Linked DNA regions of Canis lupus familiaris. The protein of the gene in region 1 binds, or shares a complex with, the protein of each later gene. Links are inferred from orthologs where the notes say so. Each region holds a gene or a part of one and is shown in the gene's direction. Other genes may lie near its edges. The genes, in order: TOPBP1, GINS1, PHF8 and BRIP1.

The links.
Region 2: the proteins of TOPBP1 (region 1) and GINS1 are in contact, whole or in part, in a cryo-EM structure (PDB 8OK2), measured with the Homo sapiens proteins. The link is inferred for Canis lupus familiaris from reciprocal best matches to the Homo sapiens genes TOPBP1 and GINS1. Residues at the interface, in NP_008958.2 of Homo sapiens: Leu490, Leu491, Ser492, Gln493, Tyr494, Glu495, Asn496, Leu586, Ser587, Arg588, Thr589, Val590, Val596, Cys601, Glu602, Val603, Ala605, Thr606, Val607, Gly608, Val610, Lys629, Pro636, Val637, Pro638, Val639, Met640, Thr641, Arg726; in NP_066545.3 of Homo sapiens: Asn43, Gln44, Val47, Asn48, Lys51, His66, Arg91, Tyr94, Gly95, Ser96, Asn100, Arg103, Phe104, Arg119, Ala122, Met125, Glu132, Gly133, Leu134, Asp135, Thr137, Gln138, Asp139.
Region 3: the proteins of TOPBP1 (region 1) and PHF8 are in contact, whole or in part, in a crystal structure (PDB 7CMZ), measured with the Homo sapiens proteins. The link is inferred for Canis lupus familiaris from reciprocal best matches to the Homo sapiens genes TOPBP1 and PHF8. Residues at the interface, in NP_008958.2 of Homo sapiens: Gln1298, Cys1299, Arg1314, Asn1315, Glu1316, Leu1319, Arg1369, Ser1406, Arg1407, Gly1410, Phe1411, Arg1413, Leu1414, Arg1465, Thr1466, Glu1467, Ala1470, Asp1471, Gln1475, Asn1483, Tyr1484; in NP_001171825.1 of Homo sapiens: Gly842, Ala843, Cys844, Phe845, Asp847, Ala848, Tyr850, Ile851, Tyr852, Pro853, Ser854, Leu855, Glu856.
Region 4: the proteins of TOPBP1 (region 1) and BRIP1 are in contact, whole or in part, in a crystal structure (PDB 3AL3), measured with the Homo sapiens proteins. The link is inferred for Canis lupus familiaris from reciprocal best matches to the Homo sapiens genes TOPBP1 and BRIP1. Residues at the interface, in NP_008958.2 of Homo sapiens: Leu1272, Ser1273, Ser1274, Leu1275, Asn1276, Pro1277, Arg1280, Gln1298, His1311, Leu1313, Arg1314, Asn1315, Glu1316, Lys1317, Leu1319, Gln1366, Arg1407, Gly1410, Phe1411, Leu1414, Thr1466, Glu1467, Ile1469, Ala1470; in NP_114432.2 of Homo sapiens: Ser1129, Tyr1131, Phe1132, Thr1133, Pro1134, Glu1135, Leu1136, Tyr1137, Asp1138.

Annotation. Positions count from the first base shown.
Region 1 is NC_049244.1:31,033,948-31,040,862, reverse strand, and holds the end of TOPBP1 (DNA topoisomerase 2-binding protein 1), read left to right. Parts: intron 1-3,641; coding exon 3,642-3,785; 3' UTR 3,786-4,498; downstream 4,499-6,915. UniProt on the Homo sapiens protein: Scaffold protein that acts as a key protein-protein adapter in DNA replication and DNA repair. Composed of multiple BRCT domains, which specifically recognize and bind phosphorylated proteins, bringing proteins together into functional combinations.
Region 2 is NC_049244.1:1,738,336-1,746,136, forward strand, and holds the start of GINS1 (DNA replication complex GINS protein PSF1), read left to right. Parts: upstream 1-2,617; 5' UTR 2,618-2,769; coding exon 2,770-2,844; intron 2,845-2,989; exon of another isoform or gene 2,990-3,148; intron 3,149-3,711; exon of another isoform or gene 3,712-3,998; intron 3,999-5,136; exon of another isoform or gene 5,137-5,339; intron 5,340-7,801. UniProt on the Homo sapiens protein: Required for correct functioning of the GINS complex, a complex that plays an essential role in the initiation of DNA replication, and progression of DNA replication forks.
Region 3 is NC_049260.1:45,972,607-45,979,325, reverse strand, and holds part of PHF8 (histone lysine demethylase PHF8), read left to right. Parts: intron 1-2,051; coding exon 2,052-2,075; intron 2,076-3,024; coding exon 3,025-3,361; intron 3,362-4,342; coding exon 4,343-4,427; coding exon of another isoform or gene 4,428-4,431; exon of another isoform or gene 4,432-5,422; coding exon 5,423-5,513; 3' UTR 5,514-6,719. UniProt on the Homo sapiens protein: Histone lysine demethylase with selectivity for the di- and monomethyl states that plays a key role cell cycle progression, rDNA transcription and brain development.
Region 4 is NC_049230.1:34,937,393-34,944,570, forward strand, and holds part of BRIP1 (Fanconi anemia group J protein), read left to right. Parts: intron 1-2,520; coding exon 2,521-2,603; intron 2,604-5,720; coding exon 5,721-6,044; intron 6,045-7,178. UniProt on the Homo sapiens protein: DNA-dependent ATPase and 5'-3' DNA helicase required for the maintenance of chromosomal stability. Acts late in the Fanconi anemia pathway, after FANCD2 ubiquitination.

The DNA of each region.
Region 1 (6,915 bases):
TTTGAATTCTTCTCCTATATTGCAGTGCTCTTTGTCATTGTGTGTGGGGTATGTGTCTTGCTGTTCAGAATTTTCATCTTTGGTTTTCACCATTTAGGATATTGCCAGGTGTGGTTTCTTTATGTTAATGTAATCCTGGTTGGTGTCTGCAAAGCTTCTTTACTCTTTTTATTTTTTTTTATTTTTTATTTTATTTTTTTTTTAATTTATTTATTTATGATAGTCACAGAGAGAGAGAGAGAGAGAGAGGCAGAGACACAGGCAGAGGGAGAAGCAGGCTCCAGGCACCGGGAGCCCGATGTGGGATTCGATCCCGGGTCTCCAGGATCGCGCCCTGGGCCAAAGGCAGGCGCCAAACCACTGCGCCACCCAGGGATCCCTGCAGAGCTTCTTTAGTCTGTAAACTTCTTTCACCACATTAAAGAAATTTTGGCCATTACTTCTCCATTCTTTCATCTAGTTATGGGAATTTAATCACTCATACCTTTGGATATTGTCCCACAGGTCCTTCAGACTATGTTTACTCTGCAGTTTTTCTGTTTTTCTGATTAACTAAATCCTGTTTATCTGCTTCCAACTTCACTGATTTTTTTTCTGTATTTTCATTCTGTTCTTAACCCTACTCCATGAGATTTTTTATTTAGATATTAAATTTTTTTATACATAGAATTCTTTGGTTCTTTTTTTATAGTTTCTGTTTTTCTGCTTTTTCATTTCAAGGATAAGAGCAGCTATAGTGTGTCTACTACTTCCAACATCTGGGTCATGAGCAAGATATACTGTTTTTATTTTGAGGGAATTGTAGATTTACATATAGTTGTAAGAAATAACAGTTTCCCCCAGTGGATAACATCTTGCAAAAATCTAGCAGTATTACACAGTATTACAGCCGAGATATTGACGTGATGCAATCCACACTTACTCCAATTTCTCCATTTCTACTTGATGTGTCTGCCACCACAGTCAAGATATAGAACAGTCTATCACTACAGCAACCCTTCATTTTGAGTTTTCTTTTTTCTTTTTTTATTTTTTTTTTATTTATGATAGTCACAGAGAGAGAGAGAGAGAGGCAGAGACACAGGCAGAGGGAGAAGCAGGCTCCATGCACCGGGAGCCCGACGTGGGATTTGATCCCGGGTCTCCAGGATCACGCCCTGGGCCAAAGGCAGGCGCCATACTGCTGCGCCACCCAGGGATCCCTTGAGTTTTCTTAACTAGACCCATCCTTCCCTTCATTCTCTTCTTCCAGGGGTCTCACACCTGGCAACCACTAATCTGTTGTTTAAATTTTAAGTGGAATCAATATAGTATGTAATCTTTTTGGATTGTTTTTTTTTTCTCTTGAGAATCATTCATGTGTTGCTTGTATCAGTAATTTTATTACTACTTATTGCTGAGTAGTTCAGATATACTATAGCTTAACCATTAACCTATTGAAGGACATCTGGGTTGTTTCTACTTTGGGGCTATTATTGAAAAAAGCTACTGTGAACATTTGTACACATATTTTGTGTGAAAATAAGATTTCATTGCACTGAGATAAATCCAAAAAGACAAAATGAAGGATCACTGCGGAGATATAGACTGTTCTGAGATAAATGCTTCAGTGTGTTTCCAGAATAGTCACATTATACGTTCCTACCAATGAGATGAGCAATCCGGTTTTTTCTGTATCCTCATTGGCATGTTTACTTCATTATTTTAGCCTTTTCATTTGGTATGTAGTAATCCCTTGCTGTGGTTTTAATTTGCAGGTCCTTAATGGCTAGTCAGAGTGAACATCTTTGGTATACTTCATAAATGTATGAGGTGTGAGGTTTCATATAAGGTGTGAAGTTTAGGTAAAAAAAAAAATCTGTTTCAGAAGGTCTATAAAAGAACTATCCTCCATCTAGTTGCTTTGGCCCTTTGTCATAATTCAGTTGGGTATATTGTGGGGGTCTATTGATCTAGGTATCTTTTCTTCTACAATAGCATCTTATTTATGATTTATGTATTAAGCCCTGATATTAGTGATTCCTCTTTATTTTTCTTTTTCAAGACCATTTTAGCCATTCCGGAGCCTATACCTTTTATGTAAGTTTTAGGATAACCGTATTTATATGCCTACAGAAACCTCTTGCTATGATTGATATGAATCACATTAAGCCTACAGATTAATTTGAGTGAACTGACATCTTTACTATGTTCAGTCTTTTGATCCCGGAACTTACTGATTTAGGGCATCTTTAAGTTCTTTCATGAACATTTTGTAATTTTCAATACATGTGTTTTAAGTTTTGCATCTTTTTTGTGGTTTTGGATTCAGATTTTTTTCTTGAGAATGGGTCATGTTCTTCAGATGTTGTATAATTTTATATGCATCCTAGACATTTTAAGTTGTAAAAATTAGATTCTATTATGTTCCTCAGGGGGATGCCATTCTGTTTGCTTAACAGGCACCGGCTGCTGTGAGTGGGGGGCTCAAGTCTTTAAGCTTAAGCCTCCTCTGCCTTTCCATGGTGAGAGGGCAAAGATTGAGGCAGAGTTCATGACCGAGTTTGGGGCTTCTCCTGCTCCTTCCTGGGATTTCCCACCTCATTTTTCAGTGGCTGTGGTTTCAGGCCATTAATACTACCTGCTTTCTGTTGAGGCTTAGTTTAGCCAGCCCACATGACACTTCTCCTCAGACCGGACCCCCTACCAAGTGTCAACCCTTCTGATATTGCCTAATCTTATTTCCTCTCCAGTGTCTTGTGATAGTTGCCTTTAATATATTTGGGTTGGAAGTTGTCATCCAGGGAAGAGTTGAATCAAAAGGCACTTACCCAGTGTTTTATGGTGATTCATTTTCATGTTATCCAGTCTGCCACTTGGAGGGAAAGCTCATTTTAATTGGAATATGGTTGTTGCAAGGATTTTGGAGGCAGTGTTGTAATGATTTTGGCTTTGCCACCTGCTAGTTATATAATGTTATTTAGCCTTTTTTATCTTATCTGTAAAATGGGGAATATGAAACACCTATCTCACATGTTTACAGATTAAAAATATTTTTTAAAATTGACAATAAGGGGGGTGCCTGGGTAACTCAGTGGTTGAGCATCTGCCTTTGGCTCAGGGTGTGATCCTGGTCCAGGGATCAAGTCTCACATCTGGCTCTGCTTCTCCCTCTCCCTATGTCTCTGCCTCTCTCTGTCTCATGATTAAATAAAATCTTTGAAAATAAAAGTTGACACTGGGATCTCTGGGTGGCGCAGTGGTTTGGCGCTTGCCTTTGGCCCAGGGCGCGATCCTGGAGACCCAGGATCGAATCCCGTGTCGGGCTCCCGGTGCATGGAGCCTGCTTCTCCCTCTGCCTATGTCTCTGCCTCTCTCTCTCTCTGTGTGTGTGACTATCATAAATAAAATAAAAATTAAAAAAAAAAAAAAGTTGACACTAAGTATAAGGTGTCACTTCTTAACCTTACTCTACAAATGACACCATTATCAAGGTCTGAGCGTGCCCTATTCCACCTGAGCTATAAATTTTTCTGATAAAAGGTGAGATTTTGTCATGTATGGTCTATTCCTAGCATACCTTAAAATACAAATTTTAAGTCTTTCTGGCTAAAAAGCATAGTCAAGGAAAAAAATGAACAATGTATTTTCTTCTTTTATAGGAATCACCTCCTCCAGTAGAAAATTACTGTCTACCAGAAGCAGTTTCGTTTCTTCAGAATAATAAGGAACCTGGGCCTGGATTATCACAGAAGAGGAAAGCTCCTACAGAGAAAAATAAAATCAAACGACCTAGAGTAAACTAATCATGTTTGCTCTTTAGTCACCAAACATTAGTATTTTAATTATAAAGCCTGAATGTTACGGTCATGGATTTGCATAGTAATTTAAAGACAAGTGTCTGAAACATTCAGCTTCAGAGTATAATGATGATCTTGCTTGTAGTTAGTTTTTAACATCTGAAATTTTAATCACTGAAACATTAACTGTTTTTACCTGAAATAACAACAAAACACAACTCCTTGGCTGGCTTGTCATTAAACCACACTGTAGTGTGTAAGGGGCTGTTTATTTATTTTCTTGTAAATATCTGAGTCTATAGCTTAGTGAAGTTTTAGCAAGGTAATGGATTTTGCCTTAAAATGCCTGCTTTAATTTGTAACAATAAGGAGCTTGTAGATTGAGATTTATTCGTGTTTTCCCTGATTCTTCTCACCACTTTCCCTCTTTTTAACAGGAGCCTGAGTACAAGGTTTAATGAGAAACTGAGGCTTTAAACTTAAATATGTGTTAGTGTATATATGTATATGCATGTTTGTACAGATCTCCATGATGTTTGCCAAGTTTGGGAGCCAAAACTTGGAAAATAAAGACAATAAAGAATAAAAGTAGTGACTGAAATTAGTTGTTCAGATAAGTTTTTGAACAGAGCATCCTAGTATTCATTGTCTTGTTGAAGCAATAAATGATTTGTAAAATTAAGCTTAAAAAGCAAATCGCAAAAAAAAAAAAAAAAAAATCGCTGGGGTACCTGGGTGGTACAGGTAGTTAAGCATCAGACTCTTGATTTTCTCAGGGTCGTTGGTTCAAGCTCTGAGTGGGGGCTCCAGGCTCAGCTTCTTCCTTTTCTTGCCCCTCCGCCCATTCTCTAAAATAAGTAACTTTAGGGATCCCTGGTGGCGCAGCGGTTTGGCGCCTGCCTTTGGCCCAGGGCGCGATCCTGGAGACCCGGGGTTGAATCCCATGTCAGGCTTGCTGCATGGAGCCTGCTTCTCCCTCTGCCTGTGTCTCTGCCTCTCTCTCTCTCTCTGGGTGACTATCATAAATAAATTAAAAATAAAATAAAATAAGTAACTTTAAAAAAAAATTTATTACTAGTTATGTTTCTGATGTTTGTTACTTTAGAATATTGTATTACTGTGTTTAAAAAAAAAGTTTATTGGAACTACAAAACTGCATTAGCCTTTATTAAGCTACACCTAAACACCCTGCTACATGTGTTACCACAGTCTTCTAAATGTAAAGCTACCTCATTTTGCTGAAAGGAGGAACCAGATATAAATGGTCCCCATTTCATAGATTCTTTTTTTTTTTTTTCATTTCCTAGATTCTTTGAAGGCAAACTCAAATGGTGACGGTCGAAAGTCTTAACCTGAACACAAAACTCCTTTTTTTCAAAGTCTTCCTCTGTAGGGAAATATAGTAGGGTTATCACAGCCCCTCATAAATGGCCCTTCAAAGTTTTTGGCCTTGATCTAAATTCCCAGCTCAAAACAAAAATTCCTGTACAGCCAAATGGATAGATAGCATTGTCATGTAAACATGTCCCTCCCCAAACAAAATCACATGGCCTGGTTCTACCAGGGCAATTTTGTGTGAGTAGAATCTTTCCAGTGGCATCTTGCAGTATGTTTCCCTGAATTTCATCACTTAAATTTTTCGTTAAAGTAAATGTTAGATCCTGTTTCTCTCTAGCCCAGATAAAATTATATAATGTACGCTTTTCTGCCAAAATTATGAACTGTTTTTTCAGTAAATAAATACATACTTTAAAACTTTAAGGCTCCAGATCTCAACTGTTCCTCCTGATTCTCCAAAATCTTTATATCAATTATTTCAACTTTGGCTTTCCCTCTTAGACTATAAATGTCCTAAATCCAGCAAGACCATACATACAAATAATTTCTTTAAGATTTTATTAGAGAAAGGGCATGAGTGAGGGGGGAGCACAGAGAGAGAAGCAGGCTCCTCCCTGAACAAGGGAGCCCAATATGGGGCTTGATCCCAGAACCCTGAGATCATGACCTGACCTATAAATGCAGACACTTAACCAACTGAGCCATGCGGGTAGGCACCGCATGCAAATAATCTAAGCACAGATTTCCTTCATTTTAAGGAAAACAAAAAAGCTTTCCTTGATTATTCTTAGTTTCTCCTCAGAATTGCTATAGTATTTTAATATGACACTTAAATTAGAATCTTCCATTCCTCCATGAATTTTCTAGTGCATCAGCCTGATGGCCAGCATTCATTTATTCAACAGCTATTCCTTAGCATATAACAAGTACATGGGGACGCCTGGGTGGCTCAGCGGTTTAGCGCCTGCCTTCGGCCCAGGGCATGATCCTGGAGTCCCCGGATCGAGTCCCGCATCAGGCTCCCTGCGTGGAGCCTGCTTCTCCCTCTGCCCATGTCTCTGCCTCTGTGTGTGTGTCTCTCATGAATAAATAAAATCTTAAAAAACAAACAAAAAAAAAAAACTAGTACATGGGATCCAGGAGCAAACTACCTAGAAAGCATGCTTCCTCGTGGAGATTGAAGAGGCCGGATTGTGTGAATTGTTTCACACACATACACATTCAGAGATTGAAGCCTAACCCCTAAAGTGACCACTTGGGAGATAAGGCTTTCAAGGAGGTAATTAGGTTAAACAGGATCCTATGGCTGGGGGCCATAATGGCTGGAATGGATATGGGCACAATCTGGTCTGTGCATTTTTAGGGCAGAGCTCATAGTTCTAGAACTCAGATCTGTGACTTCACATCCAAAAACTACGAACCACTGTCGTAATCTAAACCTATTTCACAGGTACATCTTTAACCCAAAGGTGTTTTAATACACTTTGCTTTATATCAGAGATTGGCAAACTTTTGTGTGTAAGTCCAGATAGTAAACATTTTAAGTTTTGTAGGCTGTGTCTCTGGGGGTCATTTTTCCCCAACTTTAAAAGCCTCTTAAAATTGTAGGGACCATTCCTAGCTCAAAGCCATACAAACGTAGGCAATGGGCCATAGTGTGTTGATGCCCACTGTATAGTCCTAAAAAACTTTATCTAGATCTGTCAACAAAGCAAGGCTCGTTTTTCCATATCTTATCATAAACCTCACTTCCGATGCAGCAGTCCACAATTGGGAGGGACACTCATGACACCAAGCT
Region 2 (7,801 bases), about 29 Mb from region 1:
TAGCCTTGTATTTGCATTTCCTTAGGCCAAAACTCTGGGATCATCCTTGAATCTTCTTATGCCTGATTCAGCACTCCTTTCAAAATCTATCCAGGATGCAACCACTTCTCACCACCTCCTCCATCCACATGCTGGGCCAAGTTGCCATCCTCTCTCACTCGAATTATTTTAACAATAATTTTAATAAGTGGTCTCCTGCCTCCACCTTTGCCAACTTTTGCTTACTTTGCCGTCAGAAAGGTCCATGTAAAGATGTAGGTCCAGTCCTGTCACTTGTTTTGCTCAAAAATACCTATATATAGTTCCCCAACTCACTCAAGTTTTCTTTAAAACAGAAAGCTTATGATAGGGCCTACAGGGTCCTACCTGGCATGGCCTCAAGCCCTCATTCTGATCTCAGCCACTAGAGTCTCCCTCCCTTACATTTTTTTTTTTTAAGATTTTATTTATTTATTCGTGAGAGATAGAAGCAGAGACATAGGCAGAGGGAAAAGCAGGCTCCTTGAGGGGAGCCTGAGCCACCCAGGAGTCCCTCCCTCCCTTACTTTGCTCCAGTGTCACTGCCTCCTTGCTGATGCAGGGGCCCCGGAGAGGTATGGTTGGCATTTGTGTGAGTCACCCAATCCCCCTCCTTGGGACCTTTGCACTTGCATTCCTGCTGCACGTGTAATTCTCTGCCTATCCTATGGCCCCACCTGCACATGGTTTATTCCCTCCCCACTACAGGTCTGTGCCTTCTCTGAACACTAACTCCAAACCCTCAGATCCTCTCATCATCACTGACTACAGAATTATTTACCTGCCCTGGCTTATTTTTCTTAGCACTAAACTAATAAATTTATCATCAATATATCTGTATCCCACACTGGAACATAGACTCTGAGAACAAGAACTTTGTTCACTACTTTATATTCAGTGTCTAGAACAATGCGCAGTATATAGTAGGCACTTCATAAATATTTGCTGAAGGAGTAAAGAGTCATTACAACCCTTCAGAAGTCCATACCGTTGGCCCCATTGTATAGGTAAGGACCTGAAATTAAAAAGGTTTATGACACAGGAAGGTTGTGGATACTGGCGATTTTTGGCATGCAATCCTGTAGCACAGTCCATTACAGATCTGTGTATTTAATAACACTTAGGTAAGTTATGCCTTACTGTAGAGCTGAAAAGGAAATTTCACTTAATTTAAAGATTCAAAGGCTTTGTAGGCCATTCCCATGCTCATTCTCCAGATTACACATCTATTGTATATATATTTGCAAAAGAGAAGGTTTCTAGAGTTAGCTGGAATGAATCCAGTAATATTACCTTTTTAAAAATATTGCTTTGTAAAAGGTAGCCAAGTAAAACAAATCGTTTGTATAGCAGTCATTTCTTTGATAGAATCAAATCTATGCGGTTATGAAAATTTCCGTAATCATGTAGGTAAGATTATGGCTGTGTGAATTTGTGTTAATCTAGGGTATTTTCCCCTTCTGTAGACTTTGTGATTAGAGTTATTTTAAAAGCGTTTTAAAATTACTCCTTGGGCAGCCCAGGTGGCTCAGCGATTTAGTGCCTCCTTCGGCCCAGGGCCTGATCCTGGAGACCCAGGATCGAGTCCCATGTCAGGCTCCCTGCATGGAGCCTGCTTTTCCCTCTGCCTCTCTCTCTCTCTGTGTGTCTCTCATGAATAAATAAGAATCTTAAAAAAAAATAAATAAAATTACTCCTTTAACATCAAAGGTGGTACTGGGAGTTGCAATCTTAAATCTAAAGTCTGACTGGGCAGCCCCGGCGGTGCAGCGGTTTAGCGCTCCCTGCGGCCCAGGGCGTGATCCTGGAGACCGTGGATCGAGTCCCGCGTCGGGCTCCCTGCATGGAGCCTGCTTCTCCCTCTGCCTGTGTCTCTGCCTCTCTCTCTCTTTCTGTGTCACTATAAATAAATAAATAAATAAATAAATAAATAAATAAATAAATAAATAAATAAATAAATAAAACATCTTTAAAAAAATAAATAAAGCTCTTCTTTAAAAAAAAAAAAAGTCAGTAACTTGAGAAGCGGCGTGACCTTGGAAGTTCTGTTGTTGGCTCCCTGGCTGAGTCAGTCCCGGGTGCGAGCCCCCAGGGTCGGCTCAGAGCCTACTCGAAGAAAAAGAAGTTACATATCTTGCTTTCTAATCAGTACCAAGAGTCTTAGAAGCACCACCTGACGATTAATCATGAGAATTAAATGAATGTCACAGCCCCTACCACACAGGAGATACCCAATAAGAGTTGGTTCCCCTTTTCTAGTTAACAAAAACCCACCTGCAAAACTAAAACGAAATGCTATGTCCTAAGATTAAAGCACACCCAGTTTCTGAGCGTTCCTTCTCAACCTCAGAGTGAACCCCCTTGGTCATAAATAAAAATGAATGAATAAATGGAAAAAAGAAGTTGCGAGATAAGCATCCATCGCGAGCTGCGAGTCTGCTCAGACCAGGTGGATCGCAGCCGGGGAGCCGGCCTGGGGCAGTACGCGGCACCCACCCCCCGCCTCCGCCCCTCCTAGAGTGCGGCTGCGCGGCGGCGGCAACTGTCCCTTGGCCGCCGCCGTAGGCCGCGAGGCCCAGAGCGCGTTTCTATTGGTTGGGCGTGTTTGGCGCCAAAGAGCCGGGCGGAGGCGAGTGTCGGCCGCTGTGGGACCGGGAACCGTGGGAGCCCCGGGCGGCGTGCGTGACCCCGGCGACTGTTGGCGTGAGAGCCGGCGGTCGACGTGGGCCTCGGGACCGGAGCGCGTAGGCTATGTTCTGCGAGAAGGCCATGGAACTGGTCCGCGAGCTGCATCGCGCGCCAGAAGGGCAGCTGCCGGCCTTCAATGTGAGGGAGGACGCGGGGAAGCGGGCTAGTCTTGCTGAGGGGCCGGGGCGGGGGCGGGGGCCGGGGCCGGGGCCGGGCCGGGGCCGGGGCCGGGGCCGGGGCCGGGGAGGGGAGGCGACCCTGGGGTTCTGCCCTGTCCCTGCAGACCCGGATGTGGGACTGGATCCTGAGATCTTGGAGGCCGGGTTTTCTCGCGGGGCCTGCTCTGAAGTCGGAAACAGACATTTTGGAACACGGGAAAGCAAGATTTAGCAGGAAAAAGAGAGCACCCCTGTTTTTGCCAGCGAGTTGGTGAATTCTCTGGGTCTGTTTCCCCCCGTGTTTTCCACGCAGAGCAGTACTGCGGGGCTTTGTGTCTGACCGAGCGTTTCTCGGTGCCGGTGACAATCCAGATTTGTTGCGCGCTCGGGCGGGAGCGAGGCCTCTGCGCCAGGCGGGGACCCTGACTGCGTCGTGGGGCCTCGGGCAGTTCCGCAAGCTTTCGGTGCCGGCTTTGTCTTGTGCAAAAAATGGGGAAGCGTGAGGGCTCCTAAGGGCGGCGCAGCCCAGGTTCTCCGGCCTGTGCCCGACAGTAGCGGCGAAGTCCGTGTTTTGTACTTATTTCTACCACGGCTGCTGCTACGACTTGTTACTAATAATATGTGTCTGTTACTTACCCCGACAGGGTACTAAGCACCTGGCCTCTGTTATTGTTATTCTCCTAAGAACCCTTTGAGATTTAAAGCATTTCTTCCAGCCCTGTACACAAAGGCTTGGGGAGATTGAGTATCGTGCCCGTGGCCAGCAAGAAGTGGAACTAAGATTTGAACCCTTGCAGTCCGGCTCCGGATCTGGACTCTAAATTCTACACTTGTCTACCTTCCACAGCATAGGGCAGCGGCTGGGTGGATGCCAGGGCATGTGCTCCCCTGCCAGGGACAGGGGCACAAAGAGTATTAGGATGCACCGTGAGGACACCAGAGAGGTGTACATAGGAGCACAAGGAGGAATACTGGGATGAACCTGGCGTCGAGGAGGGGGCATTTGGCCCACGCCTGGAAGGATGAGATCCCCACCCTGAGAAGGAAGATAGGCATTGCATCCCAAGGATACAGCCGCACAGAGACCCATGGTCACGTAGGAAGGAGTGACTGAGGTGTGCAGAGGCTACAAAGGTGTGTTCTAGGCGGAGGAGCGCCGGGTATTCACGTATAAGGCATTTGGAAGCCAGTAAAGGATTTTAGACAGGGGAGTGTTAGGGAAGGTTTTATGTTTTGAGGATAATGATGGCAGCACGATGCGGAACAGATTGGAAACAAGGAAGAATGGTGGCAGGGAGATGGTTATGGGTGGTTCTGATCGCTCTCAGACCTGCTGTAAGAGCTGGGTGTGATCCAAACTATGTCTGGTCACTGGGCCCACAAATCAGTGTCTGGGTTTCTGAGACAAGGCAAGTAGGACTTACACCTGCTAGAACAGGAGTGGAGATGGGGTGGGTAATGAATGAAAGGGAGAAATCAGAGGGTCTTGGGGGGATTTTCTCTGAGTTACAACATCAGAGTTCAGGAGAAGTGTTTAGGGAAAGGTGAGGTTTTTTTGTTTTTTTTTTTGTTTAAGATTTTATTTATTAGAGACAGAGAGAGAGACAGGCAGGCAGGCAGGCAGGGAGCCCGACGTGGGACTCGATCCCGGGTTTCCAGGATCATGCCCTGGGTTAAAGGCGGCGCTAAACTGCTGAGCCACTGGGGCTGCCCTGAGTTTTGTTTTGAACGTTAAAAAGCGCCTGGTCAAACAGGTCATTTTGCAGATGAGACTGAGCCAAGAGAAATTAAAGATCAATTAAGGGACTGTCTGAACATACAGCATATTGGAGCAGAGCCTCACCTCCGACACAGGTTTCCTAGATTACTGTTCTTTTAGAACAGTTACCTCATTTAAAAAGCTAGGAGACAATAGTGGGAAGTTCAGAGATTCTGGAATGCCAAGGTGTGTAGGCTGTAAAATATGACTCCATACTGCAGTCAGACAGCTGGGCACTTTGAAGGTCATCTAACATAAGAGGAAATAAGCCCAAAGAGGCACAGGCTTGTCAGCAGAAACTGGCCACACCAGCCCTGCAACTGGCTCTTCAGACCCTTAGTCCATCCAGCTCTCTGTTTCACACAAATTTTAAGTGTTGGTTTACCACTTTTGGGAGAGCTGGGGCGGGACTTAGAAGTTATAAAATCACTCCTTTTTCTAGGTCTTAGTTTGGCAGAGCACCTTTTGCACATGCACCTTCTACTGACAGACCCACCTGCCAGCCAGGTGACTGACTCAGTAGCCTGGAAGACTCAGCCTAGGGAGGCTGGCTGCTCTGACACAGCCAAGCAGGGACAGGCCAATCCATCTGATTGATCTGAGGGCTGATAGGCCCATTACCCACATGACTCTTCAAGAATCATTCCTCCCAGGAAGATGATAGTCACTGGATTTAGAGCAGGAACTCTGCCTTGTTCATTCCAGGATCTCTCAAGGTTAGTTGCTGTGTTCAGCAAATTGAAATGATTGTCCACTTTCTATATGCAGAACTGGTAATAGTTTAAGTGAGTTTTTAGGAAAATTACCGTAGGCTCCCAGCCTGACATGGGAATACAAAACAGTGCAATTTTTCACTACAGATTTAAAAAAAAAAATTAAATATGAAATCATTTTTATAAAATTGTCTATTTTTATAGAACTATTTTACACATCTTTTGTATACCTGTAGATCTATTAATCATGCAGGAGTTTCAGCTATTCCTTAAAATATTATTTGCTGATAAAAGAAATATTTAACAATTCTTTTTTTTTTTTAAGATTTTATTTATTTATTCACGAGAGACACACAGAGAGAGGCAGAGACATAGGCAGAGAGAGGTAGCACCAGGCTCCTTGAGGGGACCCCAGTGTAGGACTGGATCCTGAGACTCCAGGATTATGCCCTCAGCTGAAGGCAGACACTTAACCACTGAGCCACCAGGCATCTGTGTGTCTGTCTCTCTTTTTTTTTTTTTTAATATTTTTTTCTTTTATTTTCAATTTATGATAGAGAGAGAGAGAGAGGCAGAGACACAGGCAGAGGGAGAAGCAGGCTCCATGCACCGGGAGCCTGACGTGGGATTCGATCCCGGGTCTCCAGGATCGCACCCTGGGCCAAAGGCAGGCGCCAAACCGCTGCGCCACCCAGGGATCCCTCTCTTTTTTTTTTTTTTTTTAAGATTTTATTTATCTATTTGACAGAGAGCACAAACAGGGGAAGCAGCAGGCAGAGGAAGAAGGAGGAACAGGCTTCCCACAAAACAGGGAGCCCCATGCAGGGCTTGATCTCAGGACCCTGGGATTATAACCCGAGCTCGAGGCAGATGCTTAATCGACTGAGTGACCCAGGCACCCCTATTTAACTGAATTCTAATAAATCAGACTTCTCCATGCTCTCTTTTTAACTACTTAATGAAAGGGAAGACAGAGGTCATGCTTAGGTTTTTTATTGGGAATTATGTATTTTCTTATGTTTGAACAGGGTTAAGTTGTTTTGTAGTTATATTAATAATGCTAAAATGTTTTTGTTAATACATATATGTTGGCCCTAAAAATAGTTGGGTCACTTATCTTTGGATTGCTGACTACCTACTGTGTAATGTTTTTGAACTCCAAAATTTTAATGTTTGTATCCTTCCAAAGGAAAATCTTTAAAAAATTTGTCCAAGATAGGTAGTAGAGAAATTCCTTTGGTCCTTCCATTGTTGCAAACCAAAAGTGTTTTTTTTTTTTTTAATTTTTTTATTTACTTATGATAGTCACAGAGAGAGAGAGAGGCAGAGACACAGGAAGAGATAGAAGCAGGCTCCATGCACCGGGAGCCCGACGTAGGATTCAGTCCCGGGTCTCCAGGATCGCACCCTGGGCCAAAGGCAGGCGCTAAACCGCTGCGCCACCCAGGGATCCCAAGTGTTTGTTTTTTGTAGTAATCTTTTGAGATCTGTTTTCATTAAAGTTATTTACATACTTTTGTCATGCCTTATTGCTTCTATATAGGACTGTTGTGTGGGTTTTTTTGTGGTTAATTTTATTGAGATACTAATTTATAACAACAAAATAAAATTTAGCAGAATGTTTTAATTTTACAACTGTGTACGTCCTTGTAAGCAGCACCACAGTCAAGATTTCTGTCACCCCAAGAATTCCCTTCTCCCTTTCTGTGGCTCCCTACCACCTCCAGCCTTAGGCAACCACAGATGTACTTTCTGTGACTACAGATTATATTTGTCTTTTTGAGGGGGAGGGTCTAGATTCAGTGTGCCAGGAGATGCATACTTTTTCTATAAAGGGCCAGCAGGGATCATACAGTATGTATTCCTTTGTATCTGACTTCTTTTGCTTAGTACGATGTATTTGAGAATATCCTTAATCAGTATGTTGATGGTGTTGTATTGTCCGTACTTCATTCCCTTTTATAATGCTTTTTTTTTTTTTTTTTTTAAGATTTTATTCATTTATTCATGAGAGACACAGAGAAAGAGGCAGAGACACAGGCAGAGGGAGAAGCAGTCTCCATGCAGGGAGCCTGACATGGGACTCGATCCCGGTACTCCAGGATCACGCCCTGGGCTGAAGGCGGTGCTAAACCACTGAGCCACCCAAGGATCCCTATAATGCTTTTTTGGTCTATTTTTTTATTGTAGTAAAATATATATAACATGAAATCTTCCATTTTAACCATTTTTATTTTATTTTTAAAAGATTTTTTTATTTCTTTATCACGAGAGACAGAGAGAGAGGCAGAGGAAGAAGCAGGCTCCATGCAGGGAGCCCGATATGGGACTCAATCCTGGGACTCCAGGATCACGCCCTGAGCCAAAGGCAGCTGCTCAATCGCTGAGCCACCCAGGCACCCATTTTAACTATTTTTAAGTGTACACTTCAGCGCTTTCAATTACATTCATATCCTTGTGCAACC
Region 3 (6,719 bases), on another chromosome or scaffold:
CTGTTGAGAGCCAGCAGAGAGCAAGCAGTCCAGGCAGGCCACTTTGATCACAAATTCTCTGTTATGTACATCCTAGTGCCATATAAGATGTAATTTAGAAATAAAAGGGAGGGGGGCTTTTAAATAAACAGATAATTGAAGGTGTGAAAACTACTTTGGGTGCCTTCTAAGGAGCTCACTTCGGTTTGCTCAAAGAATTGAGCAATTTGAAATTTGGGAGGGGTTTTGCAGGCTAAGCTTTTAGAAGGAAACAGGGAGGCATTCCAGGAGAAGGGAAATCCTTGGCAAAGCACACAAGGTCCTCTTAATTTGACCTCTGCTCACTTCTCCTCCCCAGCCTCCCCACAGCCCTGCATGCACATGTTTTGCACCAGCCATACTGTTGTACCACGGTGTTTGTCGTTCACTTAGTGTATATCCCATTGCCTCATGCCCCTGTGCCTTTGCAAGATTGTTTCCTCTGCCCACTAGGGATCCTCCCTTTTAGATGCCTTTTAGATGCACTCCTTCATACCACCTACCACCAATTTATTTCAGGAACCTTCTGTGCCTCTCTGGTATTCTCTCCTAGTACTTAGAGTATGCCTTTCTGTATCCCTTTTTAAACTGTGAGTGCCTCAAGGGTGGGGATATATGTAATTTAACTTGATATCCCCACTAGACTAAACATGTGTTTTAGTCTTTATTGGGCCTGTGAACGAATGAATGCATGAATGAATGATCCGGTCCCTCTGGATTAGAGGCTTCAGGTTGGGCAAGGGGGTAAGATAAATTCAGATTAAAAAAGGGATTGTAGAGCCAGCCTGCCTGAGTTTGAATCCTCACTCTACCACTTCAGCATGTTACTTGACTTCTCTGTGCCTCAGTTTCCTCATAAACTTTGAGGAGTAGATGAGATAATGTGTGGCAAAGCTCCGAAAATGGCACTTGCCACATAGTAAATACTATAGACATGTTAGTTTTCCGGGGTTATCATTGTGAGTTGGGAAAGTATGAATGATAAGACCATGGAGGACCATGAATGTCAGACTACTAACAGGTTTTTGAGCAAGGAAATGTGCAAGGTGTAAGCTGTCCTGTCCTCAGACAGCCTAATGTTCAGTGAGGGAATCTGGATGAAGTATACAAGGAGATGACAACAAAGATAGAAAAATGTAGGCTAAAAAAAATTTTTTAAAGAAAAATGTAGGCTATGTCACCTAGGTGTGAATGGTTAATTTCTGGATTCAGATGAGAGAAATGGGGGCAGAAATGTTTCTGGTATAGGTGGAACAGCAGTAAGGTTGAAAAAAGATTCTAAAGCTAGATGGCTTAGGTCTGGATCCCAACTTGGTCACATCATGATCCTATACCCTTGAGAAAATGCTTTAATCTCTCTCTGCCACAATTTCCTCTCCTAAAAATGGGATTTTAACTCTTTCTTCTCATACTTCTTGAGTATTAAATGAGTTAAATTATAGAACAGTACCTAGCATGTATTACTAATATTATTATTCTTGTCCCCCAGAAATTCCTATGGTAGCCACAGCCTGTCAGATCTTCCGAAGGCAGGAATAGGCCTGTGTTGCCAAGGCAAAGAAATGTAATCACTGAGTTGGTTTGTGTGGCTGTGTAGCATTTCAGAAGGTGAAGTCGTTCACATGCTCTCAGACTACCTTTCCAGGTTCTCAGGGCTCCAGATGCCCACTATATAGGTACCCGCTACGTAGTGGATAGCAGATCCATAGAACAATGGATGGATGAAATCCAAGATATTGGGTGAATTGACATAACTCCTTATTCCTCCTTCCCATCCAGAATTGTGCTTTTAAGACCCACTGACCTGGAGGATTGTCAAGTCCTCCATTAAAAGAAAAGACCAGCAAAAAAAAAAAAAAAAAAAAAAAAAAGAAAAGAAAAGACCAGCAAGAGGAGGAAAACCATTGTAAAAGTAATGAAGATAGAGTAATAGTTTACTACTTGTTGAGTACCTACTATGTGCTATGTGTTTTTATATCATTTTATTCTTCCTGACAACCCTGAAAAACAGATTTATTTTGCCCATTTTACAGATGAGGCGATTGAGATTCACAAAGGTTAGTAACTTGACTGAAGTCATCCCACCCAGGGAGCACAAACCTAGATTTGAACCCAAGTTTTTCTTTAATTCCAAAGTTACTGCTCTTTCACTCCCAGAGGACCCTCTTTGAGAAGTGTGCAGGGTGGGTATTCAGATAGGCCTGGCTAAATCCTGGACCCAACAACTCTTCACCTGTGAGGCTTTGGGCTCAACTTACTTAATATCCCTGCACCTCAGCTTTCTTATCTATAAACTAAGGGATTTTCCTTCTCGTGGCTACTCTGAGGAATTAATGAAGTAAAGTATACAGTTGACCCTTGTACAACATGGGTTTGAACTACACAGGTCCACTTGTACATAGATTTTATTACAGTAGTACTGTAAATGCATTTTCTCTTCCTTATGATTTTCTTAATAATTTATTTTCTCTGCCTTTATTGTAAGAAGACAGATAACATAACAAAATATATGTTAATCTACTGTTTATGTTATTAGTAAGGCTTCCAATCGATAGTAGGCTATTAGGAATTAAGTTTTGGGGATGTCAGAAGTTATATGTGGGATTTTTGCCCACATGGGGGGCGGTCAGTACCCCTAATCTCTACATTTTTCAAGGGTCAACTGTATAAAGGGCTTTAGCTGCTAGCATAAATTTAGCTATTCTTATTAGAAGTATCCATGGTCCACCTCATAAATGACAGTGCTAGGACCAAAACTCAAGTCTCTGAATTCATTTTCCTTTCAGTACCACTGTACTGATTAGTGGCAGTGATAACTTAAGGATAGATGGTCCCAAAGAGTTGATCTCAGGTGTTAGGCCTGTGTTGTGTGTACATACGTCCAGGCTAGACTTGGGGTGGGGGTGGGTTGCAGGACCACATTGACCAGTGTCTAGTTTCCTTTCTGGGCAATTCTTTTCTTTCCTCCAGTCCTGAATTTCCCCTCCCACTCGGCTTATATTTCAGGAGCTACAGAAGGCCCAAAAGAAGAAATATATTAAGAAGAAGCCTTTGTTGAAGGAGGTAGAACAGCCTCGCCCTCAGGAGTCCAACCTCATTGTGGCAGTACCAGCTCCATCTCTGGCCACTACACCCCAGCTTCTCACCTCCACCTCCCCGCCGCCTCCTCCTGAGCCTAAACAAGAGGCCCTCTCAGGAAGTCTTGCTGACCATGAATATACTGCTCGTCCCAATGCCTTTGGTATGGCCCAGGCAAACCGCAGCACCACACCCATGGCCCCTGGCGTCTTCTTGACCCAGCGGCGCCCTTCAGTTGGCTCCCAGAGCAATCAAGCAGGACAAGGTACGACTGCCACATGGTTGCAAAACTGAGAAGGAGCTTAGGGTCACCAGCTCCAAATCCTGAGCACTCTGGTAGATGAGAATACTTGGGAGGGACACAGACAGCTAACCTAAGGTGCTTGGATTTGAACTCTTAGGCCATGAAGAGACATTAACTGTGTTACACAGAGGTGTTTCAGATGTGGGTTTAGAAAGAACCTTCTGGTGACCAGAGTAGAGGGTGGACTGCAGGTGGGAAGTCTAGAGAGGGGACATCTGCATAGGTTCAGGTGAAGAGAGACTGGGGCTATAGCAGAAATGGAGAGGAAGGAGGGGATAAATTGATAAAATATGGAGGAGGTCACATGGGTCATGAGAGATGATCTGATGTGGGGAGAGAGAGGAAGAGGCGATGGGAGGGGTGTCCAAGCCCTCCTTTTCTTCACTTTGGCCTTCAAATCCCAGTCCCTAGAGTGTGCCACTCGAGGGTGGTGAGGTCAGTGTGGCATCAGGTGATGAGGATGGGGGTTTCTTTTCTCTTTTTCTCTTTATCTTTTCTTTCTTTTTTGACGATGAAAATTTCTAATGAAACAAGGCCCTGAGGATGGCACCTTCATGGACATTGAGCTATAATCACTAACCAGGCACTTGTGTAGTCCCAGTAATCAAGATAAGAGGACAAGGAGGCATAACCACAGCCCTGTAGAATTTAGGAAGGAAAATGATTGGGACCAAAGAAATCAGTGAGGGAAAGGAACCAGACAGACTAACCAGGGATTCGGTAACTGCTGCAGGAGGTCATAGAAGGAAGAGCAAAGACATGTGGTGTTGGATGGAAATAGTTAAGGAGGATTTCTTGCCCAAGGTGTGCCTGGAGGCAGCATAAGGATGGGGAGACTGTGGGCAGAGGAACAGAGGAATTGGGTAGACTGAAGATAGTTGGTGCTGGAGTTGCTGCTGAAGCCCATGCCATAGCCTTTACTTACCTCTCTTTTCCCCACAGGAAAGCGTCCTAAAAAGGGCCTGGCCACAGCAAAGCAGAGACTTGGCCGTATCCTGAAAATCCACAGAAATGGCAAACTACTTCTGTGAGCCCCCTAGTGTCCTGCCCCTCACCCCTTCACCCCCTCACCCCCATTGCCTTCTCCATAGTCAACTCTCTGGGGCACTCCTGAATCCTGTCTGCCCCGGACAAGGTGCTGAGGCGCATTGTCCTGCTTTCTTGGAACTGACCAAAGGCATGGACTCCCCTATGGGCCCCTTCACCAATTCCCCTAACTCCCTTCCCTACTTCCACTAGAGAATCCTGCCTTCCTTTTCCATACCTCTGAGTAGCAGGTGAATGGGAGAGCTTTCTGGCTGACTAGAACCCTCTTTTCTGCTGCTCCAACCCATTTTCTTGTTACCAGCCTCATCCGCCCTTTACTCTCATCCCCACTTAGAACTGGAAGGCAGGTTGAGGGGAGGCATAAAGTGAGCCTTGGCCTCTTGCTATTTCCCAGGTCATGAAGTGGGAGGCCCAGTGCTCAACACTTCCCACAGCTCCAGCCCTGTTTTCCAGAAGCCTGCCCACCTCTGCCCATATTTCCTTCCCCTCCCCAACCCAGCGGACATGTCCCATTCCAGACTTGTTCCTGGGAGAAGGGTCTAGCCCTGCTCCCTTTTGCCAAATGCTTGATGAAAATAAAGAGGAGGGCCCAGAGTCTCTCTACTGCCCCACCATGGGCCATTTTCAGAGGTGGACTAGAAAAGTTATGGGCTGACTTCACTCATCTTTGAGAAGAAGAGAAATTTCTGTCACTTCTTAAGGTGGAGAGAGGACCAACACCTAAGCCTTTAACCATGGCTTTGTAGCCCACTGGAGGAAGCTACTTTTGGGTGGCTACAGATGAGGTCCCCTGTCCCCGGGTGAGCTTCAGGTATTTTCCTAGATTTTGAGGTCCTGATAATAGAACATTATCCACGTGGCTATATCTGGGCCCCAGGAGGTGAAAAACCATCTCCCAAAAGTCTGAAAGTTCCTACCACTGAAACAGATAACCCTGGCCCTGCGTACAGCCTGCTCTCTTTACCTGTACCACAGAGCACAGCCTGGACCTTCTGGAGAGGATGTGACAGGACAGCTCACCCCTGGGTTCTCCATCAGGAGCCTCTCTGCTTCTTTCCCCACCTAAGGTCTTGGTCTGAAGAAGACCTCAAAACACACATCTTCATGTCTGGGCCTTTATACTCCCAGACATCAGGTCACAGCTCCAGCAGAGTGCAGATGGGTTACTCAGGAACCTGAGCCTGGAAGAAGAGATGCCCATCTGTAAAGGAGCAGATCATCTGATCCTCCACTCCCCATCTTCCCCTTGTGGGTGTCTTTATCATTCAGACAGTGCCCAACCCCTCTCCCTCCTCCTCCCCGGCCACCTCCCTCCACCACTGCCTGTCTTGCCTCCCTGGCAACCTGGTCTGGATGGAGAATACCCCACTCCCTCCATTTTGGTACTGCCCAAGTGGAGTGCATCCTTGCCCTCTACTCCCCACTCTGACCTCACCCCAGTTTGCCCAGTGCTTCTGGGGAACTTAACAGCTACCATGCAGGCCACAGGAGTATGTGGTTTCCCTTGTCATCTTTGTGTCTCCAGTTTGTCTTTTCTCTATAGCCCCACATCTACTCTCCTTATTTGGAATCAGGGGTCCCTTAAACCCATCTGCTTTTTTTTTATTTTGGGGACCCCATGGGCCATGCAGCCCTCCATCTAGTCACACCAAAGGCAAATAGCCTGGCTACCTCCCCCCCAGCACGTGAGGTCCCCACATCCCTCTCCTGTTTCCACCCAGCTTTGCTTTCTTGGGGTTTTCAAGGCAGCAGAGGGTAGTGAGGGGAGGGAAGTGGGGGCAGCCTGTGTCCCTGTATATGCAACTGCCTGATTGGGCCCTGACTGCTGTAACCAAGACCAGGACCCCAGCCCTTCTGCCCATTAACAGCACCCCCCCCCAACTTGATCTTTCAAAGGCAGCTAATTGCTAGCAAATCCCCCTGGTTCCAGGCCTCTTTCCCCTCTGTTTCTTTGTTAGAAGTTTCTGTGGAGCTAAAACCCAACCTCCATTTGACTGGGTTTCTGTTTAGTTTAGTTGGGCTCTCAGAGACTCCTGTTTGTTGTTTTGTGTTTTAAATGAAAAGCAAGTTTACCCTCAGAGTTATGCTTTTCCAAAGAGGCTAGTATGCTTTTTTTTTTTTTTAATGTTTCAGGTTCTAAGTGAAGTGAGTTGGAGAGGGATTGGGAGTGGTAGTAACTAAGGTGTAGAACATGGTGAGAGTTCCCTCTGGTCTCCAATCCCCAGCACAGAGCTGGTGGTTGGATAGGGGGTAGGGAGAGAGGATTTCTATT
Region 4 (7,178 bases), on another chromosome or scaffold:
GACAAAAGTGCCAAGACAGAGGGAGAAGAAGATGGTGGAGTAGGAGGACCTTAGGCTTGTCTTGTCCCATGAACACAACTATGTAACTACCAAATCATACCCCAGAAATCAACCTGAAGACTGACAGAACAAACAACACAACTAAAGGGAGAGCAGGGGCCACAGTATGCTCCTTGCTGTTCCTTGACTATGTCAGATAAGCTCTTGTACCAAGGTCTTTGCATTTGCATTTCTCTTTGCTACAAAACTTCCTTTCCACATATATACACAGCCTATTTCCTTACCTGTGAAGGATCTGTTCAAATGATGTTTTTTCAGGTGCTCAATATTACTGTATTTAAAAATGTAGCGCCCCCAACATTCCCTGTTCTCTATTTTTTCCTTAATACTTAGTATATTCTCATATACTATATAATTTTCCTACTTTCTGCCATGGACTGAATTGTGCCCCCACCCCTCAAATTCATATGTTGAAGCCCTAATCCCCAATGTAATGCTATTTGGAGATGAGGCCTTTGAAAGGTAGTTAGGTTTAGACGATGTCATTCACACGGGCCCTCATGATGGGATTAGTGCCCTTAGAAGAAGAGATACCAGAGAACTTGCATGTCCCTTCCTCTCCCTCCTCTCACCCTCACACAGTGAGATGGCTGACATCTGCAAGCCATGAGGAGAACCTCACCAGGGAACTAATAAGTTCACACCACTTTCTTGCACTTCCCAGCCTCAAGAAATGTGAGAAATAAATTCCCATTCGTTAAGCACCACCCCCCCTTAATGTGTCAAGACAATTCAATGGGGAAAGAAAATCTTTTTAACAGATGGTGCTGGAATGACTGGCTATCCATATGCAAAAGAAAGAAGTTAGTCCCCTTCCTCACACCATATATAAAAGTTAATTCAAAATGGGTCAAAGACTAATGAGGTGTAAATCTTTTGTCCTTGGATTAGGCAGTGGTTTCTTAAATCTGACATCAGCAGCATAACTAAAAAAAAATAGATAAGTTGGGCTTTGTCAAAGTCAAAACTTTTGTTCTTCAAAGAACGCTACTAAAAATGGAAAATATTCACAGATGGGAGAAAATAGTTGCAAAAAGTGTTTCTGATAAGGGTGTAGCATCCAGAATATATAAAGAACTTTTATAATTCAACAATAAGAAGATAAATAATGCAATTCAAAAATGGGCTAATAACTTGAATAGGCATTTCTCCAAGGGATATACAAGTGGCCAGTATACACATGAAAGGATGCTCAGCATCACTAGTTATTAGGGAATTGCAAATCAAAACCACAGTGAAATGATACTTCACATTTCCTACAGAACATATAATGAAAAAGTGGATAATAAGTGTTGATGAGGGTATGGAGAAATTGGAAACCTCACACAAAGCTGGCAGGAATGTAAAATTGTGCAAGTGCTTCAGAAAAAAAGTGTGGTAGTTCCTCAAAAAGTTAAATATTGAATTCTGTACAATCTACCAATTCCACTCCTAGTTGGATTCATATGAAAATTTGTACCAAATGTTCAAAGCAGCATTATTCATAACAATCAAAATGTGGAAACAACCCTAATACTCATTAACTCTCCACCAAGGCACCACTCGACAGGGGGCTCAATCTCAGAACCCTCAGATCATGACCTGAGTTGAAATCAGGAATCAGACACTTAAGCAACTGAGCCACCCAGGCGCCCTTGAATAATTTTTAAGATTAAAAATTTTTTTAGCAAACCCAATATGACAATCTGTAAAAAGAATAATGCACCATAACAACATGTGGTTACTATCTAAGGAATGAAAGTCTGGCCCTCTATTTGAAATTTTGCCAATGTGCTTCACCATGCTAACAGTCTAAAGAAGAAAAACTACATGATCATATCAATTGATACTTCCGAGGTTTCTTTTTTACAAAATTAAACATTCATTAATGATGAAAACTCATTAAACTAGAACAAAGTTCATTTACATAAAATCTACAACTAATATGATACCAAAGGTTAAAAAAAAAAAAAAAAGTCTGTGTGGCTAAGATTTTGGAAAATATTTTCAATAATATTTTGGTTTTCAAAATAGAATGCATATAACATTTTTAATATAAGTCATCAATAGTTGGCAATTGTTTTTTTAATATACCTACTTTGGTATATTATATTGAACCATTTCTATAACCTTGCTCATAATAGCAAAGCTTTGATTAAAGGAATATTCCACTGATATATCACTGACTTTCTCATTCTTTTATCTGTCCCATGAGAAATTTGGCTTTTCTTTTTTTTTAAAGCTTTATTTATTTTAGAAAGAGAGCACAAGTAGGAAGGCAGGGAGAGGGAGAAATACTCTCAAGCAGACTCCCTGCTAAGTATGGAGCCCAGTGCAGGGCTCAATCTCACCATTCTGAGATCACAAACTGTTACAAAATGAAGAGCCAGAGGCTTAATCAACTGCACCACCAAAGCACCCTGTTGGTTTTTATTTTCAAGTTTATTTTTGTTTGATTTTTCTCCCTATTTCTTTTTATAGGTGTATTCGACACAAAAATGATTGGGGAGCTCTTATTCTAGTGGATGATCGCTTCAGGAGTAATCCCAGTAGATATATATCTGGTAAGATTCTCAGATGGGCTTAAAGTAAGAAATAATAGGGAGCCCTGGGTGGCGCAGTGGTTTAGCGCCTGTCTTTGGCCCAGGGCGGGATCCTGGGGACCCGGGATCGAGTCCCACGTCGGGCTCCCGGTGCATGGGGCCTGCTTCTCCCTCTGCTTGTGTCTCTGCCTCTCTCTCTCACTCTCTCTGTCTGTGACTGTCATAAATAAAATAAAATAAAATAATAAAAAAATGGAAAAAAAAGTAAGAAATAATAATGATCTTTGGCATTTGATAACTACTAGTTTTAAAGAAAAATTTTGGACAGAATTTGTTTTACTAAATCAAACTTGGAAAAATTCACATTGTTGGGAAATCTAGCCTTAATAATGCTTGTGTTTATAAAAAAAAAAAAAGTAGAAGAATCTGGTTAGATACTAACATAGTATTAATCAGGATCCTTCAGTTTCATAGAATGTAGGATTTAATTAAGTAACAGAGTATTTAGCATTGTAAGGGGAAAAAAAGGCTGTTCACAAAAATGAATTTTCCAGGAAATAAGTTTTTACATGTAAGCATGTAAGCAATCGCCTTTGTCTGCTTAGAATTCCTTATTCTTTCATTATGGAATATACTGAAGTTTGATTGTTTATTTAGATATGCTTCAGCTGTTCTACAGTTTATGTTAGTCAGAACTAGTATTTTCTAAAAGAAAAAAAGCACCATGTGGGTCTCAAGATGAAATAGATGGTCATTTTTTGCCCACTTAGATGAACAAGTACTATGTGCCTATAGTTTCTATCCAGTAGTCAGAGTCCCTTTAGAGTCAATACCAGGAATCCATCTGTTATTAAAGAACTGTTAGGAATACTTGCATCTGTATTATCTTTAAAGCTTAAAAAGTTCATACCGTACAATGATAGAGATGCAGAATTTTAAGTTTCTTTCAGATTAGCTACCTGTAGGTATGGACTTTGTTTTCTATCCCAGAGCCTAATATTTGGTTTGGTATTAAAATGTATCCACCTGGTTTAAAATAGCAAGTGCTTTATTAGTCTTTTCTGCCCTTTCCATGTAAAGCAAGCCATTGTGCTTAGGTCCAGATATAACTAAAAGAAAAATGTTAAGTGCTTATGTTTAGTCAGCAGATGGAGCTCAGAGTCTTTGTGTTTTCAAAAGCAAATGGACATTTTGCACCAAAAAGGCTTTCTTTGATTACAGAAAGTTCCAAACATGAAAGAAGTTTATAACTAAAAATTGTCCATTTTAGAAAGTTTCTTGTTTAATTGTTATAATTATTTTCCAAGTTAACAAAAATAAAGAACTTTAAGGGAAATGTTTATTTAAAATGTGCTTCTAGGGCTACCTGACTGGCTCAGTAGATAGAACATGTGACTCTTGATCTTGGGATTGTAAATTTGAGCCCCCCATGTTGGATGTGGAGATTACTTAAAAATAAAATCATTAAAAAATTAAAAATTAAAATATTATTCTTGCCAACTATACTTCAACTAAAAAATGCAAAATATGAAAAAAAGTTTTTCTTATTTTAAAATCTTGAAGTTAAATTTTTATCTGATCAAATTTGATTTTTTTAAAAATTGTATTTTTTTAGTCTGTATAGCCAATGTGAGGCTCGAACTTAAAATCCCAAGATCAAGAGTTGCATACTCCACTTACTGAGCCAGCTAAGCATCCCTGACAGATTTTAAATGAAGAATTTTTCATTATTTTTGTATGGTTTTTATTTATTTTTTCTGAGATTCATAAAAATTTGAAGTCTTCTTATCGAGACAGTAATAGCACAACATACAAATTCCTTTTGATTTCTAGTCTTTGTTTAAATTCAGCTTGTAGGGACGCCTGGGTGGCTGAGCAGTTGAGTGTCTGTCTTTGGCTCAGGTCGTGATTCCGGGATCGAGTTCCATATCAGGTTCCCTGTGAGGAGTCTGCTTCTCCCTCTGCCTGTGTCTCTCCCTCTTTCTGTGTCTCTCATGAATAAATAAATAAAATCTTTTTTTTAAAAAATTCAGTTTGTATTAACTATAGAACTCCATTTGATTTGCATTAAATATAGAAAAGCTCCATTAAAAAAAAAAATACTAAAGGGGAATGTATTTGAAATGAATGAATTACAACTTGAAACTTGAAGCCCTGTCTTACTTTTCTTCTAACTTAAAATACCATAGTGACTTTTTAAACTACTTCAGAAGATGATGATAGTTTTAGTAATACCAACCAGCAGAGAATATTTATTTTTTAGAAATCCAAATGTCTGATTTTGAATTTCGTTCTGAAATTAAACAAAACACTTATACTTTTATGTGGTTCAAGTTTATACATTACTCGCATGTCACAGGTCAAATCCTATCCCTTATAACTTGGTTATTTATATATTAAAAAAGAATTATGTAATAAATATACAAACAGGACATGATTTGTCCCTAATAACATTGTTATTCTTTTCATTCCCTGGATAGTTTAAGACATTTGGAATTGGGGGAGAAGAGCAACAAAAAAGGAATCTTGAATTTATTTTTGTGAAGGAAGTCAAAGTTAGAAAGTTGGAATGGAAGACTGTTGATTGTTGTTTACAACTTTTAGTTTCCTTAAAATTAAAGAGCAGGCATTATTTGTGGAAAATTATGATGAAATTAAATTTGCCTTATTTCCCCAGTTATCCTAAACTGACAAATAATACATTTCCCCCTCTGCCTCTTCCCTCCCTCCAGTTGATAATCACTGCACATAAAGAAAAATGTTACTGATACATGAGCAGAGTATACATGTGAAGATGTTTAGGCAGGAAAAATACTGAGAATCATTCTATATACCCTAAATTCATGTGGATTACTTCATTAGAAAAATGATCTAAGTGTTTTCTTAATACATATTTTTTAAGATTTTATTTATTTATTCATAAGAGACACAGAAAGAGGCAGAGACATAGACAGAGGGATAAGTAGGCTTCCTGTGTAGAGCCCCCCAATGCTGGACCTGATTGCAGGACCCAGGATCATGACTTGAGTGAGCCAAAGGCAGATGCTCAACCACTGAGCCACCCAGGTGCCCCAAAACATAATAGCTTAAGAAACTAAATAACTACAGTTTCTTCCTTGGGTTTACTTTTTTCCTTAGGACTTTCCAAATGGATACGGCAGCAGATTCAGCACCATTCAACCTTTGAAAGTGCACTGGAGTCCTTGTCTGATTTTTCCAGAAAGCACCAAAAGGTCATTAATGTATCCAAAGAGGACAGAAAGTTTACACAAGACAGTGAGTCTATACTTGAAGTGACCTGTTTGAAGGACAATACATTAACTTACTTAGAAGCAGCAAGTCCTCTAATACCAGAAAATCCTAGGAAAGGTGAAGCAAAAATACGTGTCCAAGAACAACAGTGTCTTACAATAACTGAAAGTCCACCTCTACCAAGAGGCATCATCTCCAAAAAGGAAAAAGGTTTGAAAAGTTTTGCCTATTTACATTTGATAGAGAAGTCTTTCATTATATCCAGTGAAATGATATTTATTGTGCTATAGATTAATTTTTTAAAACACGGTTTGAAATAGAAAGTGTTACCATAAAATAATAAAATAATATGGTGTATTGGAATGGGAACAAACTTTTGTCAAGAGATCTAAGCATAGTTTGTAGTTCTCCACTCACAAGGTTTGCCACCACCTAGCTGTGTGACCTGAGCAAGTCATGTAACTTTTTTGAGTCTTAATAGAAAAAAGAATCTATACACACCTATCTCTTAGGATGGGCTGTAAAGATCTAATAATATGAATATCATGAATATCATGAATAAATATCACAGCATAGTAAAATATACTGTACAAATGGTAGATATTTTTCTAAAAGCTATAATAAAAATTGGTCTATTTATAGATACAAGAGCAGTATTCAAGTAAAAAACATGAATTTCTTAGTTTAGGTAAATATGAGTCATTTATACTAAATGATAAAAAAATAATTGTAAAAAATAGAGGAGTATCTGGGTGGTTCAGTTGATTAAGCATCAGACTCTGGGGGTTTGGGCTCAGGTTATGATCTCAGAGTTGTGAGATTGAGCTCCACATAGGGCTCTGCACTCAGCAAGGAGTCTGCTTGAGATTCTCTCCCTCTCCTCCTGCCCCTCCTCCACTGTGTGGGCTCTCTCTCGTTCTCTCAAATAAATAAATAAATAAATAGGTCTTTAAAAAATATACATATATATATACACACACACATATAAGAATACACACACACACACACACAAGAATAGTCTGTCAAGGATTGACAAACTATGGCTTATGGACCAAATTTGGCCATCTGTTTTCATAAAGCACGTCTAATGGAACATAGTCATGTCTATTCAGTTACGTATGGTACACAACAGCAGAGTTTAGTCATAGTATGTTTTGTACTGGAACAGCATAATTGAGTACATACGTACCTCAGAGATATTGTGGGTTTGGTTCTAGACCACCACGATAAAGCAAGTATCACAATAAAGCAATTCAAGTGAATTTTTTGGTTTCACAGTACATATAAAAGTTATATTTACATTATACTACAATCTCTTAAGTGTACAATAACACTGTCTTTAAA